Linked DNA regions of Drosophila melanogaster. The protein of the gene in region 2 interacts with the protein of the main gene of each other region in a pairwise test. Each region holds a gene or a part of one and is shown on either strand. Other genes may lie near its edges.

Region 1 (5,622 bases), on a different chromosome or scaffold from region 2:
GACTGACTGCCGCGCTCTCTGCAGAGTGGCGAGTCGATTAGTCGATAAGTTTCTCGATAATATTTGTATGTTAAGGATGGGTGTATGAGTGTATAAGCTTATGACTAGATTGGCTATGTATAATTAGGTATGTATGACTAAGAGTAAAGGAAGAGGGTAGAAGGAGCAGCCTACTACAATACTAGGCTTTGAAGTACTGAATTCAAAACAATATCTCAATGCTGACGTCAATCAAGTAACTTCTCCAGAAATTTCCCAAGCAATGGGGTTTTACTGTTCCACCTTCTTCTAATACAATAGATGGAGGCCATTGAATTTTTTTAATTAATTATTTAATTAACTTAGCTTGGCAGATAACATTTACAAATACCCATCCCGCAGAAATTATATTTATATTTTGAGGCACATTTTCTGTGAGCCTCTTTTTGAAAGATTTGCTACCAAAAAGGCGAACAACTAATCAACAATTTCAAAAACAACAACATTTAAAACAAATTTCGCTTGGTCGAAGTCAACATTTTTATTAGTTTCTTTTGAATGCCTTCAGCATTGGTATTTATTTATATATTTCATAAAAGGTATCTCGGCAAACAGACGTGGCTGGAGGAGATGCTCATGTACTAGCCGTCGAATTACAAATGGCGTAATCGGGAATTTTGGTGGTGCAGATATTGTTCACCTCGTCGTAGTACGGCGCATTGGTGGGACATGATCCGGTTATTCCGCTGGAGCAGATTGTGTAGTTCTTGCAACCCTCATCTGCCATGAATGGATTGTTAACGTTCCCACATCGGTTATGGGTACAGACAAAGGAGGCTGGCGAAACGCACTTGCCAGCATTGAATTGGGTACCGGTGGGACATTGGTTCCAATAGCCAGTGGCGTTTACTGCTGCACAGTAGTAGTACCCATAGCAGGTGACACCATCAGAAACGTACCTATAGTCAACAGATTCCCCATTTACAGTAAGTGGATCTGCTGCTTTAAAAGCTTCTTCGTCACAAGCAGTTGCATTTGTTTGCCCAACAGTGAACTGGTCAGAGTTTCCACTGTTTGAATCTTCGCCGGTGCACGGATTCGTCGACTGGCAGTTGCCAGTGGCTTTATTATAGTAGGGATTGGCGGTGCTGGAACATTTTTCGGAAGTGCCATAGCCGTTGACGCAGTTGATGTAGTTGCCGCACTGGTTCGGATCGCCTACAAAGATGTTGGACAACATGAACCGACAGATGGTGTCCTGCGGGCAGGCGGGTCCCCATATACATTTTGTGGAGGATGCCGAATAGACGCCGCCGGTGCCGCAATCGCCATAGGAGATTTGGCCTGTGCCATCGCAGTAGGCGTATTCGGTGCAGTTCAACGGATTGGCCACATACATGGGAGATTTGACGTTGGAGCATGTCTCAACGGCACTGGTGGAGCACACCGTGGTATTAGCGTAATCACAGCTGCCGGCCTGCGCGTTGAACACCAAGCCGTTGGGACAGGTGCCCCAGGCCACAACCTCCTGGTTCTTGCAGTATCCCCAGGCATGGCAGTTGCTCGGATTGCCGATGTATCCATAGCCCGACCACTGTTGGCACAGATCATCCATCGTGTAGCCGGTGGCCTGCGATGCCATTAGGAGACATGCGGCCACGACACAGATCCTCATATTGATTGCTAAATGGGGGATACAGGGGGATACGAACTATGAATTATTAAATAAAATATAGACATGTGTAATCGTCGAATAGTTTTCTATTTTGTTTGTACTTAATAATGCAAAGAAATTATGCTAGAAACGACAAAATTGATAGCTTTCAATCCAAAATTCGTGTTAGCGTCTCTAAAATTGGTTAAGCCTTTGTTGTAGCCAACACGGCAGCCCTTTTTTTGGATAAAAAATCAATTAAGGACGAAAGAAAAACTCAATTTGAGTAACAAATCGAAATTTGAAAGTCATTTTAGCCATTTTTGAAAGTCATCTCCTTTGCAGGAGAATTTCAGGGCCTTAAAACCATGTTTGAAACCACTTTTCAAAATTTAGTCGAAGCAAGACGTCTTGAATACTGTGCACCTGAGATAACTGTATCCGTTCTTCGAGCCAACGTACCTCCCATCTTGGAATGCTAATATTTTTCGGGGACAAATTCACTTGATAGACAGACGACCGAAGCGAACGTTCCGATTTCGTTACTAACTCAATCAATTGCAGCCTTTGCGTTTTTATAGTTGACAATTCGCGGCGCGAACTGGGTGGGTAATTAAAAAATTGTCAGCCAGATAAGCCAGCCGCCAGTAGGGCGTTAGTATCGAAATTAATGCTAGATAAGATTCTAAGGTCTGGGGTAAACCACGCACCTTGCATCCCTCCGAAGTTGTTGGGTTAGCTTGAAGGCGGTTCGAAGGCGTTGGACGACGAAAGTGAAACTAGCGGACCCGGCCAAAATGGACTGGCTTATAAGCTCAAATCGATTCTTGGCCAGCGGACACCATACATACTTAGTTTAGTATGTATATATAGTTTATATATATTTTTATACGTTGACAGCCGCGCCGGAATTTGGATTATCAGCTGCTGATTGCGAACCCTCTTTGTCTATAATTGTTTTTTAATTTCGAAGAAGCTCGAGGAGGCGGGAAAGTGTCACGGCTCTTATTGATCACTCAGTGGTGTTTCCCTGGTATCTCGGCACTCATTTCAGCAACACGACATTAGTTAGATATCTCAATTTGAATCGCACTGCGACTCTTGACTTGACTTGACTAGACTTTCCTCTGAAGGTTATCAGGTTCTGGGGAAAAATTACCGAACTACAAATGTTTATATTAATAACTTGTCCAAAAGAACCGTTTGAACTGAAATACAAAATAAATAAATCGCACTATGAAATTATGAAATTATGAGTTATATATATTTATTTATTTGTATGCATAATTAAATAGTACAATTATATGCAAGTATTTTGAAATTTTATTATCTATCTATATAATCTATAAAAATAATTGATGTTAATGTTTAATAACAAAAACCCCATTTTTTTAGTCAGTTTTATTTTCCGTTAAACTATTTTAAATCTATCCGCCTTATTTTATTGTTTCGCCTAAAAGCGAGTTTTGTCCGTTTAGAAATTCGCCCATAAGTATGCAATGACATTTAAACACTTTACTCGATACTTTTTCCAAATCACAAGGCATTTTCGAAGTAATTTAAATTCTTAAAAAATAGTTCAAGCTACGTGCTTATTTACTTTTTATATTTAATTGGTAGAGTACTAAAAATGTTTTTTTTTTTATAATAAAGAAGGGAAGCTCTCTATTAACCCACTAAGCCTTATGAATTAAACCAGCTGATCTTGCTCTTCATTTTATTACTATTTTTTGGCCGAAATGATAACTTATCTACTTCCTATTTAATTTACCGGTAGCCAATTGGCAATCTCCAACTTGTTTATAAAATCACCATTCACTACGACTAGAAATCACCCAGTACTTTAGCAACGAAAAATATAATTAATTTTTTCTGAAGTAAAATTTTATGAATGCTCCTTAAAAACATTAAATTTATAAATACAATTTTATCAAACATTCCCATTTTTTGTGCTCTATCATTTACCTTTTCAAAAATATTATATAGCAAATCCCTAAGCAAAATCAATACATTTGATTGTAATCTTCGAGCTTTTAACAAATGACTTCTATTCATCTTTATTTAACCCATCTTACCCAGTTGAATACCCCTCAAAAACCAATCCGCTTATCTTGCCAGCAAATAGTGATTGCTGCTTATCCTCTGATATTTATAAGTAATCGCAGGTCGACGTTCAGATTCAGTACGAGTTTATGCTTTGTCCAAAGTTGAGCTGTAATGGAAAGTGAGTGGATTGCAAACTGCCAGTGGTGTAAATCTAACTTTATTGTTTTTTCAAATTGCAGAATTTGGTGCCATACTGGGCGTGGCACTGGTGCTACTGCTTCAAGGCCTAGATGTGGTTAATGGCCGGAATGAGGACATCTGCCGCTTGTTCTCCAATAATACGGTGATCCGAGATCCCGAATCCTGCAGTCAATCGATCACGTGCATCGATTCCGTCAGCTACTACAGTACATGCACGGGATCTACTCCGTTTTTCGACAAGGACACGGGCAAATGCGTTAAGTCACTGTCCACTTCCACGTCCAGCTGCTCGATATCCTGCGCGGATCGGGCCAAGCAATTCGTGGCCGACCCCAAGTCCTGCTACGGCTACTATTACTGTGCGGACGAGGAGACGGCCTTGTACGGCACCTGTCCGCAGGAGACGCACTTCAATGCCACCACCCAGATGTGCTCCCGCCAACACGAATCGGATTGCACCACCAGCACCTTCGAGTACTGCAGCATTGTTAAGAACGGCGTAAACTTCGACAATCTGCAGGGCTGCAATATGTATCACGTCTGTGAGAAGGGCGTCCTGAAGGACAAGACATGCTCGAAAACCTATTATCAGGCCAGCACGGGCGAGTGTGTGTCCAAGGCTCTGGTGGACTGCGATGCCCATCCGTTGCCCACGGATGTCTGCGGCAAGGCCAGTAAGCCCTACGAGAACAAGTTCGTCGCGGATGAAGCCACCTGTCGCGGCTACTTCTACTGCGCCAAGCAGAAGGATGGCACCCCGGACCCCAATCCGGTGTGGAACCAGTGTCCCCAGGACAGATTCTTCGATGCGAGCAGCCAGATGTGCATAACCCCCAGTTCGGTCTATTGCTCCCACGATCGTTGCGACGGTCGGACTGCTAGTTTTGTCGTTAGTGCCACCAAGGGCTGTCGCAACTATCTGAGCTGCTCCGACGGGGTAACCGTGAGCGAGAGGTCCTGCGGCAACTACTTCTTCGACGACCAGCAGGGCGCCTGCACTCCAAGTGTCCAGACCTACACCGCGTGCAAGACGTAGGCATGTATTTCCAATAAAGCTCAGAATGCAATGTGATATTTGGTTAAGGAAGTGTTGTAATGAAGTGCACTAGTTTGGATTCTTTCGGGGACTGTGGAACCTGGATTGTCATAGATATAGATACGCGGCTCTCTAGCGAGTTCGTGTTTATGCACAATGACAAGTTTCTGCTGTAAGCCAGTATCTTTGCTGTAACTCGAGGATCGTAGTTGAGATATATTGTTTTTTTACCCGTTTTTATAAGAACGTAGATTGTTTTCGTTGCTCTAATGCTTAAGATTAGCTACCAAAAAGAACAATAATCTTAAACAAGTTCTAGTTCGAAATTCGAATAAATAATATCTGATGGGTGAGTGAAGAACACCTGTATTTTGTTTAATATTCCTGGAACAATTCAGCTGAAAACTAGGTAAATGAACAAATAGAATTTTAAGAATTCACTCAATCATGGAAACTTTTCTTGCAGGTGGTAACGATGGAATAGCATGGCCTCACCGAGGAGACCATAAATGATAATCACTGTCCTATTCGTTGGTTACAATCAATGTTTTCAAAAGTTCTGATTTTCCAAACAAAAACCTATCGAAAGCGACAGTGAAATAGCAAGGCAGTATATTTTAAAAGGTTGTCATATTTACGGCACAATAACTGCTGACCGTTTAATCGCATCAGCGATAAATATATTTATAGTTCAATTAATTAACGG
Region 2 (5,239 bases):
AATAACATATTTTCCGTTCCGAGTTTTCCTTTTCCCCGCCGTGGAATGCTGTTGCCAGGATGAGTTTTCCCCGGAATGGTGAGCTAACCAAGGGTTTTGGCCTCGGGCATTTGATCTTTAATGAGCTTTTAATATGGGCAAATTTGCAATGGAATTTTGTTTGCTTGTGAAGAGGCTCGACGGTATTTCCAATCGGAATGCGGGTTTCAAATGCCTCTGGACATTATTTAATCAAGTGCGCCCATCGAACGGAAATTGACTTAACTTCGGGGTGGTGGGTCACAGTCAGCTGGCTAGGGGTCAAATGTACTTGCAGTTTTCGTTGGAAGAAAAACTGTACAGCATCCATTTGATACTCGGGACTCGAGAGCAGTCACATTTCTCTTTCTCATTTGACGGAAAGTGGGGCTAACTAACTAACATCCCTAATATAAATCAAAATTAAGTTTAAATACAATTACACTTAGATGTAGTTATTATCTTCCCAGTTTTCAACTTTTTTAGAAACAACTTTTATTCGTAAATATAATCAGATGGAGCTAGTAATCGCTCCTCCACTGTGCCCCCCTTTTGGTGGCGGTCAAGTTGCCCGCTTCTAAGCAGCCGAACGCCGCCGCAATTTATCGAGTGTATTGAGTCAGTCTACGTGCTGCACATAAACCGCACTTATCTGGCTGACTGACTAACTGACTGGCTGAAGGATGTGGGCTATGCACATCCCATCCAGGATCCGCAGCCCACTTTCCTCCGGGGTGCGCTTCCTGCCATTGAAAGCCGATAGCCGACGGAGAGCGAGCCAAGAAAAATTGCATGCGGTTAGGAAAGCGAGCAGCAAAATTAATGTGTCTGCCCCGGCTGAAGTTGCCCCCAGCTCCAGCTCCAGCTCCAGCACTAGCTTCAGCTTTAGCTCCAACTACAGCTCTTGCTTCAGCTGTGGATGCTCCGCAGTCCGGACCGCGTCCATGTCCATGTGCTGCCACCCGAAGAAGCATCCATCCTTAAGCAAATAGACGGACGGAACGTGTCCGTGGCCATATCAAAATGATGTATGTGTGTTAGATTTGTTATAAATTTTATTTGCCGTTTGCTTGATTTTTACCCGGGTCTGTTCCATTAAACAACCCACCCACCCCGATTCGATTGGGATTCGACCGCAGATGCAGTCAATTATTAAACGCCTGAGTGATTGCGGTCACAAACGGGGTGGGTCTATTGCGAAAATCGCATGTATTACACTAGTTATCCAGCCAGAAGGTCATAACCATATCAGCCAACGTGGCGGATGAGTAATATATTCTTTTTAAAAACAAATTTTGTCTATGTGCTCCCATTATTAAGTAGCACTGTTAAAATACTGTTATATTCTAAATAAGTCTTTAAAGTTATATATTATATCATCCCTTTGTACTTTCCCTAAAAATCAACAGTGGCGTACCCCAAAAATCACCTCAACAATCTAAGTTAGGTTCTGACTAATGTAAGCAAATGCGTATTTCCTATCGATAAGATTGCACAGCTTTATCTAGCGTTGAGTTGAAGTAACTCATTGATAAGGTTTACAACAGGTTTATATGCATGATTACTAATAGTTCAGCGTTCAAAATAAAAACAAAAATATTATTCTTGAACAAATGGAATGGAAAAGAGCCAATAAATCAAAGATATGCTCAGTTAAGAATTCATGACATTCGACTAATACGATAAGCCCACGTATTAATAAAGAATCCAGTGATTGATTGACTGATTGATTGATTGTTTTCCTAGTGAAATATTAGTAATGACGTGTTACCTCAAGAATTTGATAGTACCCGAAAATAAGCTATCATAACGCACCTAAAGAATGACGACTTTTTCAATGGATTATCTTTATGACGGTCCTATGGGAATTCCAAAAAACCGTCCTTATCTTATTAGGCGCATATATCATCATACTCGAAATGGGATTGTTTGTTGGCATAGAAGCTACAAGTAATAAAACTTGAATCACACATAGGCGTGACTAACTAAAGTTAGTTTATATATTTAAAAGCAGCATATTTTTTAATCACACACAAATGTACATTTGTTGATATCACACTATATTAACCGATCTAGATTACAGTTCAGTTCTTATCGCGGATGCATTGGAGGTCCTGGGGCCACGTATCCTGGACCATATGGATACGGACCATGCGGCGGCGGAGGATTGTAGCCGGAGCTGTTTCCGTGAGGAGGTTCGTGGTAAATCGGATGCACTGGCGTGTGGAACGGGGGCTGTGGTTCATGGTGCGGAGGTCCATGGTGCGGTGGTCCGTGGGGCGGTGGCCCATGAGGCGGCGGGTTGTGGTGGTGGTGCGGTGGTGGAGGAGGCATCTTTGCTTGGCGGGCTTCTGTTGTACACTAAACTGGCTCACTCCTGCCAGACCTTTTATACAAAAGTAACATAGTTTCAGTAGGCTGTAATCTTATCTGCATTCTAGTGGAGAGGGACTTTCTTTTATATATAATTGTCTACCTTATCTGCTGGCTTTTTGATACTTAATCATACTTAATCAATTCTTGCTTCAATATTCTTCTAATTGCTTATTAGAATCAGTATCTTTATAATGGTGTTATAAAATTAAACAATTTCTAAAATAAAAACATTTTGCTCTTGGTGAAACTAACTAGAAGTTAGTGAAGATATTTTAATGTTAGTTTGTGGCTTAATCACAGTTAACGATTAAGTTTTTCCATATCAGTTTATAACGTTAAATTCGGCTTATATTGTATTATAGTTCTCATCGAGGATGCATTGGAGGACCGTGGTGTGGTGGTCCATGATGATGGTGGTCGTGGTGCGGAGGTCCATGGTGCGGCGGTCCGTGGTGTGGTGGCCCGTGATGCGGTGGCCCGTGGTGTGGAGGACCATGGTGCGGTGGCCCATGGTGGGGAGGTCCATGGTGTGGTGGCCCATGATGATGGTGGTGGTCGTGGTGCGGTGGAGGTGGCATCTTGACTTTTCTGACTTTAGTTGAGTACTAAGCTAAAGCCTATCCTGTCAAACCATTTATAGGAAAATGATTCGAATACGTTGTAATCTTATCTAAATTTCAGATAAGACGAGCCCAGTTCGGTTGATAAGTAAGTTTCGGGTTTTCCCACAACAACACTTCGCTCAATAAAAACAAATGTATGACATTCGAAATTAGTAATAACAAACAAGCGAATTGTTTACTGATATGTCTATATGTGACTTAAAGAATAAGTTAATGACGACTTTGCATGTAGTTCATAAGTACAACAATATGGAGATGTTATAATATTTTATTTTTGTAAGCAACAATCAGCAACAATCAGCAACAAATTCTTAAGCTTAGTACGTTGCACTTAGGACGTGTATTATAATTTAAAAAGCATTTAGATCTTCAAATCATATGTATGCTTTGTTCAAATTAATGGAAGCTTAGAATGCATTAAGCAGTATCACCAATTCAAGATCATAAACATTGAAGATATAGAAAAGAGTAGAGCTATGTATTTTGTACAGGCTTTTATTTCTTTGGTTTGAAGAGTTTTTAAGACTTTCTATTAGAAACTAAGTTCCCTAAAAAGTATCCATCTTGTTTTGTTCTGTATAAAATTGAATCTTATTTATAGTCCTTGTCCATGGGCCTAGTGATGTCCGTGATGGGGCTTCGGATCTCCGTGGTGAGGGGGATGCGGTCCTGGTTGGTGATCCCCAGGATGCGCAGGACCCTTCGGTGGGTGCGGTTGGTGGGGCTGGTGCGGTGGTGGTGGCATGTTTCCAAAGCGATTTCCGTTCTGAACTAAAGTATTACCCCGATTTCCACGCTATATATAGTGACGAAAGACTGCTGGAGGCATTGGTTTTCCCATTAAAACATTTTATCAGCCTGTTTTGCGATAAGGTGAGTACTTGGTGGTCATATCGGAATTTCCCTATGACAACGCAACGAGAAAATCACACATCTAGCTTCCCTGATTTTTCAATCGAACAGGATTTGTATATTCGTATGATCTTTTGAAGTGGGAGGAGTGTGCATTCTTGTATTCAAATTTTTTATTGTATAAAATTTTCTCGTGAACAAATTATGGAAAAGAATCTGTGGAATACGCTGCAGGAAGTCGAGCAAGTCGAGGTTGCTTTTAAGCAGACCTTGAGAAACATTACCGATATCCAGAACCGATACAAAACGGTTTCGGCCTTGAAGAGCAAGGCCTCCAGGCGCCAGGAATCCTTCGAGGCGGAGATCCAAGGTGCCATTACAGCACCCAATCCTGCCAAGAAAAGGAGGGTGGTCAAGAAGAGCAAGATCAATATCTTGAAACAGAGGAGTCTGCTACCAATGCCAGTACCCAATCTCAGATCGGAAACTATCCTGCAGGTGGAGGAGCCTTTTGTGTGTCTCGAAACGAATTGCGTCTACGAAATACACAAGACAACCACTCACCTGATGGCGCGGAAACCATATGGAGCTCTCATCCGGCGACTGTATCGGTCAGCCAGGCGGAAGAGGATGTACGACCAGGAGCAGGAACAGGATCAGGAACAGGTTGAGGAACAGGATCTGTATCCAGACATGGAATGTTACCACTGCTGCTGCTCAGCGTGTTGCATAGAGTGCAGATAAATTTGTTCGTGATTGTATATAGCATATTTTTGGGCTTTCACAAAGCTTCAAAGTTTGTAGCAAGCATTTTATGTGATAATAAATAAATTGTACTTGTCCAAATGAACAGCAACAGCTATTTGCTGGCTAGTAACAATTTCATTGAATTTATTTGAGTTGTACCTCGGGTTTTCCTCGATAATTTTTTCAATAACTAGCCTGAGCATCGATTACCTCTGTCTCTCGACAATAAAAACAGGCAAGGAAGCCAAAACAAAGGAACGTTTGCTTACCTACGAGTCGCACTTTGTATGGGCAACTTAAACGCTAATGGCATAAACATCCGAGACGTGAGCGAAATGTTTAAAACGCGCCTTTTGAAGCGCAGGATGCCAGGACGACGGGACGGAAGCCGAGGTTTAGCGACTGTAATGTGGCCGCCGCCCAAATCAAATCTCAAATCATGCACGTTTCCATCGTGGCCAGCGGGAAAGCCGGGGAAATGCGCCGCGCAGGGGAAAAGCGCCAGGAGCAGAAACCGAAACCAGGATAGCAATCCGATGACGAGCACTGCACTCCCTGCACGGGCGAAATTGTTTGAAAATTCAATTCACACATTTGCCAGTTGTCGATGATTTTCTGTGATT
Region 3 (8,993 bases), on a different chromosome or scaffold from region 2:
GAAATTTTACATTCTTGTAAATCCCGCGATCCCATTTCCATGAATTTAGGAAACACAATCGATTTTAAAAACTGGACGCGATGTACGCGACTAAAGTGACTGTTTAGTAATGAAATCAAGCGGTGGTCATGTGCCATATTTATAACGCTAACAATATAATGAAGGGGAATTCCATTATATTATTATATTTCAATTGCAGCCGATTTCAAGCTTGTAAAAGTTGTCATTACATTGACTTCTGTTAAGGTATATAACCAATAGATTAACGATGATAGTAGTACATTACCACTTATCTAATGGCTAGAATGGAGCTTACTCATCCCAAGGTGTTTGTTGATCTTTGGGAAGCGGACTAGAAAGCTTTAAGTGATCAAGGGGAAATTCATCGAAAGATCCCTAATCAATTATTGAAGTAAGCACAATGTGTTGTAATTTCTTGTTTAAGTACTTACATATGAATAATTATAAATATACAGTCTCAAAAAAAAAAAAACATGATTACAGTTTCTCAAACGAACTTTATTAAGAAAGAGGAGTAAGATTGTAGTAAGGAGTAAGGATTGTGATGAACAATTGTAACAGCACCTTAGCAAGCCGGCATGGCGCAAGAGCGTGATTTGACCAGGCGCTTGGAGCACGGCTGTCCACCATTCTGGGGCTCGGTGACAACGTAGCGCCGGCTTTCAGAGACTCCGACACCACAGCTAACGCTGCAGGGCGACCAGACGGACCAATCTGACAGGACGCAGGCCCTGGGCTGATCCACTCTTGAGGAATACGGCGACCTAAGCACATTGCACGTATTCAGGCAGTCGTTCTCCGTGAGGAAGTTGTTTCGGTTGCCACGGCATCCTCCGTAGGTAAAGGAGTAGCAATGCTGGTTCTGCGGATCGTAGGCATACCGCATATAGGTGCCACGACAGGGACCTGGGTCCGGTGCCTGTACACAGATGTCCTTGGCCTGCTCCGCGTTAATGTGGCAGTCAATGGGATTGACGCACTCCTTTTGCTGATGCAGCTCCATGCGTTGCGTACAGCTCTCCTTATCGGGTCCATTCTCCAACAGAAGCAGCCGAGTCCGAATGGTAACTCCCCGGCCGCAGGTCGAGGAGCACGGACTCCAGTCGCTCCACTGGCTGGTGGGACATTGCGGATCAGGAAGCTCCACCTGCTCGTATGTACAGTCCGGCCGCATGCACTTGTTCTTTTCCACTATGGTGATATGGGGACATCGCTTGCGTCCCAAATGATTGACAAAGGTGCGCGTGCGCATGGTAATGCCAATGCCACAGCTGGCCGAACACTCGGACCACACGCTCCAGGGAGAAGTTTTGCAGAGACCGGCTCCCTCGCCATTGCTGCCCACCAGGGACTGCGAGTTGGCCAGGTTCTCGCCCTCATCATCGTCACGATCCTTGGACTGGGCTGGGCCATCGGCACATTCGGGTATGGCAGCCACGCACATTTCCTTGGCCACCAGTTGGCGAGCGCATTTGTTCTGATCCGCCGCCGCGGGATACAGATATTGCCTGCTGCGCATGCGGATTCCCTTGCCGCAGCTCACGGAACACGGACTCCAGGCGGAGTAGTCGCCCACTCGACATTCGGCTGCAAAACGATTGATTAGATGGGCATGTTAGTTTCAAGTTGACCAAACCCACCTCTGGTGTCCTGCTCCTCAGCATCGTCGGACACCTCCAACTGAAGAGCCTGCAGGAACTCATCGTCGCAGTTCCGGGAGACAATCTTCTCACGTCTTAGGTATAGCTTGGCAAGTGGTGTCATCTCACGGCTCTTGGGATTATAAAAGGGAGCCCTAGGATCCTCAGGATACATTGTAGTGATGCGATACATCCTTTCCGGAGGTTGTGTCTCCGAGTTGGGTGACTACCAAGGAAGGTCCATTTAATATTTAGGTTACCATGAAATATCAGTTGAATATATATTACCATATAAGAGATGCCGCTATCAGTGCCCGCATCCCATGGAAACAAATCAAAGTCCATTGACTCCTTCCAGCTGCAATCCTCAGTGCAGAGATCCAGACCACTAATGCCCACCACCCAATCGGGAGAAGGACCAAACATGGACACCAGCGATACCTTAGGGTGCTTGCGATCCACCCGGAACTTGGATGAGGTGTTCTGGTTGACATTCGGGTACCACAACCCAGCGGCCTTAATCAGGGTGCGCAACTTGGGCCCGTTCGCGCGCAGCTCCGTTTCTAGAGCAGCCGGAGAACCCCACTCCGCCAGAGAGCGGAATCCGGCGGTGGCTATGTGGTTCTCGCCCCAGAAGGAGAAGTTGGACTCGTGCGAAGCACCAATCACGTCAGAGAAGTGTGTTAACCAGATGGCGAACGGATAATCCTTGGGATGGGTTTCGTTTGACCAGATTCCCTCGAAAACGAACTGAAATTGGAATGACAGTAAGGTGGAGCTCGGAAAAATACGCGGTCTTCTCTGACTTACGCTGTATTTGGCTTCATCGCAGGCGCAGCATTCCTTTTGAGCAGCAGCTGCATCAGGCTTTCGTTCGCAAATCACAGTGGATAGGTTGCCATCGTCGGCGAACCAGGCTCTCGGACCCTCGTAGACCATTGCTGACAAAGAGACACAGCCAGAACCCGACTCCGGAGCCACCCACATTACCTGGACTTCTGTTTTGGGCAGGTCGTCCGCCTCGGAAACCGTGTTCACGCATCTGTCGTTGAACTGGGTCAGGGAGTCACTAAACAGCTGGAAGCGGCCCACTCGCCGGGGACTAGCTGCCTGTGGACGACGGGCGCCAGTGTGTGCCTCCGCAGTAATGGTAAAGTGGGTGAAATGCTGAACTTTCAAGTGAGTCCGGGATCCAAGTAGAAGTACTACCAAATTTTTTTAAATTCAAAATTCGATTAAAAAAACTACGTATCGATTAAAGGGAATCGATGCCATCACTGGCACTAGCACTGTTATCGACAAATTTATGTACCTATAGTTGTCTCGCTCTTTCAGCCCTCTTTTTAAGACGACGCGCGATTGTAATTTGTTAATATTATTAAGTCTTTAGTCCTGTGATTTTTATAATGTCTAAGTTTCTGGACATGCTATCGGGGAGCCAGTGCGTCAGCCTGGAAAAGTGCGGCGATGTGGTGGTCTCAACCAACGACTGTATGATTGCACTTTACTGCCACTTCTGCCGTGACCTCTTCACACAACTGCCGGAGTTCTTAAGACACCTCCAAAGCAACCATTCGGATGTGCTGCACTTCACCAAGGAGCACAACGTTTACAGCGTGGAGGAGCTGTTGTCCGGTGAGCAGGGTAAAGCCCACGAGGACGCCCAGTCGGCGGGGCACAACAGCAGCAGCGGTGACTCTAGTTCACTGATGAATTCAGAGGATTCTAGGGCCATCGAAGGCTCAGAAGATAACTCAGACAATAGCCCAATGAAACGTAAGAATGTGATGGCATATCGTTATAAAGTATTATTATTAATATTATCATTATTATCCCACAGCTGAACAAATAGGGAAACAGAGTGAAATAAACCTGCTAGCGGAAGTGACAAACATTTTATTGCAAACCAACGACAAGGAATTAAAACCCGAAAATGGCGTATTCAACAGACCACGCAAAAAGGCTAATAACGAGAGCAGTTCTTTGAAGATATGCGATCTGAAGAGTCACACTATTGCAAGGACTTCGCGAAAGCGAATGAGCATGGTAAAGAACCGCATCCTGCGAGTCCTTGACAGCGATTTGTCTGCAAAGCTTGAAATTAAACCTCCAGAGCCCAACTCCAAACTTTCTATAACTGAGCCCATCCAAGAAGACAACATACCTGGAACATGTTTTGACACTCCTACAAAGCCCATACCGAGCTCATCTCAATTAAGTGTAAGAAAGTCTTCTTTAACAGAGGCAAACCAAATATGTACCAAATATGCCGAGAAGAAAACGGCGCCTACCATGCCTAAGCTACTGAACTGTGTACCAAAGCCCATATTAACTAGTCAACAAGCTCATACTAATGCCGAGATAAGTGAGATAAATGAAACCTATCACCTAGCAGCTAGTCAAGTGACAAAAACCACGAAAACATTTCCCGTAAAAATAACACAAATAGATATTTTACAACCAGTTAAGTTACCTAAAACTTTAATAACACCAATCAATGAAGAGGGTGTCAGTGACCAAGTGGAGAATAGCACGAATAATATAAACAATGCCCAAAGTCTGCCGAAAGAAAACACAAAAAAGTTTTTTAAAAAGCGTAGCGAATTAGGGATAAAAGCTCAAGGCAGTCCCAACAAATTTTTTAAAATAATAAAGTCCAAGGCAAACCCCATTATTGTAAAACGGGTGCAGACCACCAGTGCCAAAGCTAGTACAAACAAAATCCAAATACGATCTAATGACAAAACTAATTGTTTTGCTTCTGAGTTTAACAGCACAAAGATCCGCAAGTTAAAGATGGAAAATTGCGTCGACCTAAAATCGGAAGATCCCTGCGCCAATACAAATACGCGTTTAAACAAATTGGCAACAATAAGCAGTTGCGAAATATTAAAAGCGGTTGGAGTAAGCACTTGATACGAATCATTGCACATTTCACATCTCATATCTTAATCCATTTTAGTTGCCGGCAATCACAGATAACCCGATCGAGGATACATTATTGCCAGACGAGTTAGAAACGATCCGAAAAAAGGCAGATCAATTCATCAAAATCTACAGGAAGTACGATTCTATTTGGAATTATAGAAAAATTTGTCCGCCAGCGAAACCGGACTTTATTTCTCAACAGATATTTGCTTTAACCAGAGAAGTTAACAAGACAATGTTATGCAACCTGGCGAACAGCGATATAAAAGGCATTATTAATCAGATTTCAGTTTGGCATTACAATATATATACCCAATATATTGACTTGGATACCATTTCGGAAAATGCCCGATATACTTTAAAGCTATTCTCGTTTTTACCTGTTAGTTTTGCTTACTTTTGCAAATGTTGCGACGATATTTTCATCTTAAAGAAAGAGTACTTAAAGCATTTGATTTCTCACCAAGTTCGGTTTCAGTGCACAAAATGCATTAAAGTATTCAAGTACAAGGGATACTATGAAAAGCATTTGCGAAACGCTCATTCTTAAGCCACAATGTGTCATTTAGTCATGGTTACATATATTTTTTCTAACCCTACATAAAGTTATGTATTTATTAAATAAAAAGGAATTCCGAAAAGCTAATGCTAACCAATTTGTCAATAAATGTTATATTTTGATTTTAATAAATTTTTCTAATAAATCAAAACGTTTTATAAACTAAATGCTTTAAAGTTTCTTTATCACTACAAAAAGATTAGGTACAAATTAACACAGAAAGCGTTATCAAAATAGCAACTGGACTGACAAGATGGACAACATCACCATCTGCTCTGGATTCTCTTATCATTTCGATGGCTTTTGTTTTTAGTTCTCGAATGACCCCGATGATTACAAAACCAACTAGCTACCTTCCCGACTTACAATTATACGTCTTGCCGGGCACATAGCCGTTGGGTCCATCGGCCACAATTAATTTGTATCCATTGTCGCCGCGTGTGCGTCGACCGTGGTTCAAGTGGGTGGGCGCCCGGGGACATGCGGTGACCATACTAATTGTCAGCCAGATCACAACGATGAGGCGGATGAGCAGCGGCAGCGATTGCCCCATCTCCAGTGCTTTATTTCCCGCGTTATCACTTGACTCGATTACAAAGCTCAACTGCAGCAACGACCGTTTCCAGCGAGGCTCAAAAACAGACTAATCAAGCCGGAGAGGCGATAGAGCTATCTTCAAGTCGAGCGACCGACCCGATGCCGGATGCTTCGGGAACTCTGATTACAAGCATTACTCGCGAGATGGTCTTGACTTTCATCCATTGGCTCCTCCAATAATTCCTCTTTACTCTCGTGTCTTTTCTATTCCGTATATATTTCATGGTATAAATTTTGCCGTACAATTTACAAATAATATTACAATTATATATTTCCATATCATCGGTAACAGAGCTCACTATCGTAGTTTGTAGTTCATAAATTTGTAGGTTTGCTTTCCGCTCCCGAAATAGTGTGAATCGTGAGGATTCGCCTTAGGAAACTCAACATTGGTCGAGAACATAGCATATATACTGATAAATCAAACTGGGACTGATCACACAGACTGGTCACACATTCGATCGATAAATAGGGAATACATGTGAGAACTATAAAGCATATAAATCACAATTGCCAGATAAAGTTAATACTAAAAGGTCAGAATAGGCGTTTCCCGGTGATCCAAGAGATCTGAAAAAAAAAGTATTTTACATCAGAATGGCGAATATTTTTGAGGTAGGTCTTCAAGTAGCTCACCTTTTGCAATGCTCCACCAGGGCAGTGTCACATATGTGAGGAATGCATTTAGCGGCGTTGACTGCTGTCTTCTATTCTCCTTCCAGAAATGAAAAGATTGCGTAAAGCCTCGACTGGTCCATAGGGGATTATAAGCGCCATCGTCGAGCTCTAAAAGTAGATAAGAGGCTCACGGAATTAGTTTATGTTAGTCGGAATTATTGAAATGTAAGTACACGAAAATCGAAGTACAAAAAAATTAAATATAGTTGAAGTAAAAAGCCTAGGAAATAACCTTTTATTGCCTTTTTGGGCACATCGCACCAATAGTAGATGTTAGTGCCATCGGGTGTTCTGCGCTTGGGAACCAAATGCAGCATCTTGCTGACATGAGCTTGCTTGGCTGTTCTCGGAAGAGTAGCACTATTGGCCTCCCCGTTGCCATTGGCCACATCCAGCATGGGTGTAAGTTCCGTGGGCGATATCACGTTTGTAATATCGCTCTGCTCGTTCTCATTGTTCTCGTCCGGCTGCAGCAGATGACTCTCCGGCTCCACAGGCAAGCTGACACACTTTTCGAATCGTTTTGGCGGAGTCTTGGGCGAATCCACGACCGGCAGCTCTTCTCGTCCACGCACACTAATCATTAGCTTGCTGTCGCTCTCACTTAGGATAACCATCTTGGCGGCTCCAACTGGTTCCGATTCACTACCATTCAGGGAGGTAGCATCATCGGCGATCTCGTACTCCTCCGATTTGGAAATGTCAGGCTTTGGATTGTTATTATTAACAGCTTTTTTCTTAGCTGCATCCATTGCCTTGAACTTGTCCTTTTCCTTCTCCTTGTTTCCATCTTTGTCCTTGTCCTTCTCTTTGCCTGCTTTTAGCCGCTTGGGCGACATCTTGGCCAGAAAGTTGGTAGCTGAGCCGTTGACCTTCTGATTTGAAGACTTCTTGTCGTTCTCCTTGTTTTTGTCCTTTTCTTTCTCCTTGTCCTTCTCGAGATCCTTGGCTTTGGCCGTGCGCAGTCTTGGAGGTATGATCCTCTTGGTGGCCACTGGGAGGCTGGTCCTGCGATCAGCAGCACTCAGGGAGGCACTCCTCGTAATGCTGCCACCCTGTTGCTTGCGTTTGATCTCTGATGGCAGTCGGAAACTGCTTCTTTTGCCCACGAGCAGCTCACTCTCCACACTCAGGATGCTGCTTTTTGGCTTGAGACGGGTGGGCCGCTTGTCGGGCATCTTGGCCAGACAGGCGGGCGACTCGTTGGACGGATCCTCGCAACTGGGGCAGTACACCTCGGACATTTCCGGGGTGTCCGTGTTCTTGGCAGACGCCCAGCGCTTCTTACACTTTTTGCCACCAAAGCAATTGCAGCCCGTAGTTGAGCTATGTCCAGTAACGCTGACGTCCCCGGAAACTGTGACCTCCACGGCGGCACTCAATGGAGGCGGAGTAACAGCAGGAACAGCGACTTCCGCTGGAGCAGAGGAAGTACTCTCTCTAGGAGATTCTTGGGTCAACTTTTCTTGGTCACCAGTCGCGAGTTTATGTGTCTCGCAGTTCGGATTTGGGTGCAGTTTTGCCGCTGAGGCCGAGAAAGCAGGACGTTGCTGATCTACAAGTAGATAGATCGGTTTTTGCGTTTTAAAAGCATATACATCGACACACATGTACAACCGATGATCGGCCCAAGCAACTTAATCGATAATTGGCAACAGAAAGCAGTGGAAATAATAAACCAGAATAGGGAAACACAAATATAAACTAGGCGATCGATCGATAATAGGTGGATGAATGGATGTCTAATGAATATACAGTCAAGCCACCAAACAATTTCTAAAGGGAATTGGGAATAGGGACGGGACTACGGAATGTGGTGAACGATTCCCGTTTAAAGCGAAATCCAGTGTCAAACAATAAGCCAAACGAAATATAATTTTGGTTGTCCTTAGTGTATTATTTGTCCTGCTTTCTCGGCAATGTCTGGTGTTCTCTTTATATATATACTCTGGAGTCGTTCTTAGGGGCACACTTAAAGTATATATATAAATTCGATAGTTGGAAGTTTTAAAAGGAAAATCAATGGAACGACAACACATTACGAGAAGTAAATCAGGAATATGAACGGAAAATGAAAGGAGCAAGCGGAAAAGCAGCTTTAATTTAACTACGGCAACAACTGTAAGCAGTAATACAATTCTAAATATCATGCAACTTAAGGATGCTCAAATGAATAGGAAACAAGGATAAAGAAGTACATGTTCAGACTGACCGTCGCGCAAATCTCCAGCCTCGATTTCGGACACCTCGCTAGCCAGCGAGTCCAGTCCCTCGTTCTCCGATCGCGCCTTGGCTCCCACACTGGGGCTGGTGCCACTGCCCACCATATCCTGGTTATTCGAGTTCTTCGTGCGCCACCCGTACCGTGAGAAGTTATTGAGATTGGCACTAGGATCGCTAAGGCGTCTCTGATGTCGATAGGTGCAATAGTCGTCGTTCTCTTCCTCCCACTCGTCCCACATGTCAGTGGCGCAGAATCCCGGCTCGCTGGTGGGTGTCTCCACACCGGATCCTTTTGGCTTGGTCACCGCCATCTCGGCGTGTCCCTTTCCCTGAGGTCCCTTCATCCG

What was found.
Region 1: the proteins of CG5011 (region 2) and CG6933 interact in a two-hybrid assay, tested with the Drosophila melanogaster proteins (one large-scale study listed by BioGRID).
Region 3: the proteins of CG5011 (region 2) and fat-spondin interact in a two-hybrid assay, tested with the Drosophila melanogaster proteins (one large-scale study listed by BioGRID).

Annotation. Positions count from the first base shown.
Region 1 is NT_037436.4:20,218,002-20,223,623, forward strand, and holds CG6933 (uncharacterized protein), read right to left. Parts: upstream 2,420-5,622; 5' UTR 2,351-2,419; coding exon of another isoform or gene 2,344-2,350; intron 2,235-2,343; 5' UTR 2,103-2,234; coding exon 2,060-2,102; intron 1,663-2,059; coding exon 614-1,662; 3' UTR 501-613; downstream 1-500. Other genes in the region: CG17145 (uncharacterized protein), read left to right, coding at 3,851-3,857, 3,919-4,916.
Region 2 is NT_033779.5:1,197,973-1,203,211, reverse strand, and holds CG5011 (uncharacterized protein), read right to left. Parts: upstream 2,542-5,239; 5' UTR 2,353-2,541; coding exon 2,110-2,352; 3' UTR 1,992-2,109; downstream 1-1,991. Other genes in the region: CG43349 (uncharacterized protein), read right to left, coding at 2,760-2,972; CG43348 (uncharacterized protein), read right to left, coding at 3,634-3,762; CG5139 (uncharacterized protein), read left to right, coding at 4,074-4,613.
Region 3 is NT_033778.4:17,050,807-17,059,799, reverse strand, and holds fat-spondin (fat-spondin), read right to left. Parts: upstream 5,799-8,993; 5' UTR 5,702-5,798; coding exon 5,515-5,701; intron 5,255-5,514; exon of another isoform or gene 5,140-5,254; coding exon of another isoform or gene 4,624-5,139; intron 4,566-4,623; coding exon of another isoform or gene 3,502-4,565; intron 3,438-3,501; coding exon of another isoform or gene 3,068-3,437; exon of another isoform or gene 2,965-3,067; intron 2,867-2,964; coding exon 2,472-2,866; intron 2,412-2,471; coding exon 1,950-2,411; intron 1,888-1,949; coding exon 1,662-1,887; intron 1,609-1,661; coding exon 587-1,608; 3' UTR 501-586; downstream 1-500. Other genes in the region: tef (teflon), read left to right, coding at 3,068-3,437, 3,502-4,565, 4,624-5,139; CG9646 (uncharacterized protein), read right to left, coding at 6,275-6,315, 6,382-6,531, 6,656-7,978, 8,636-8,993.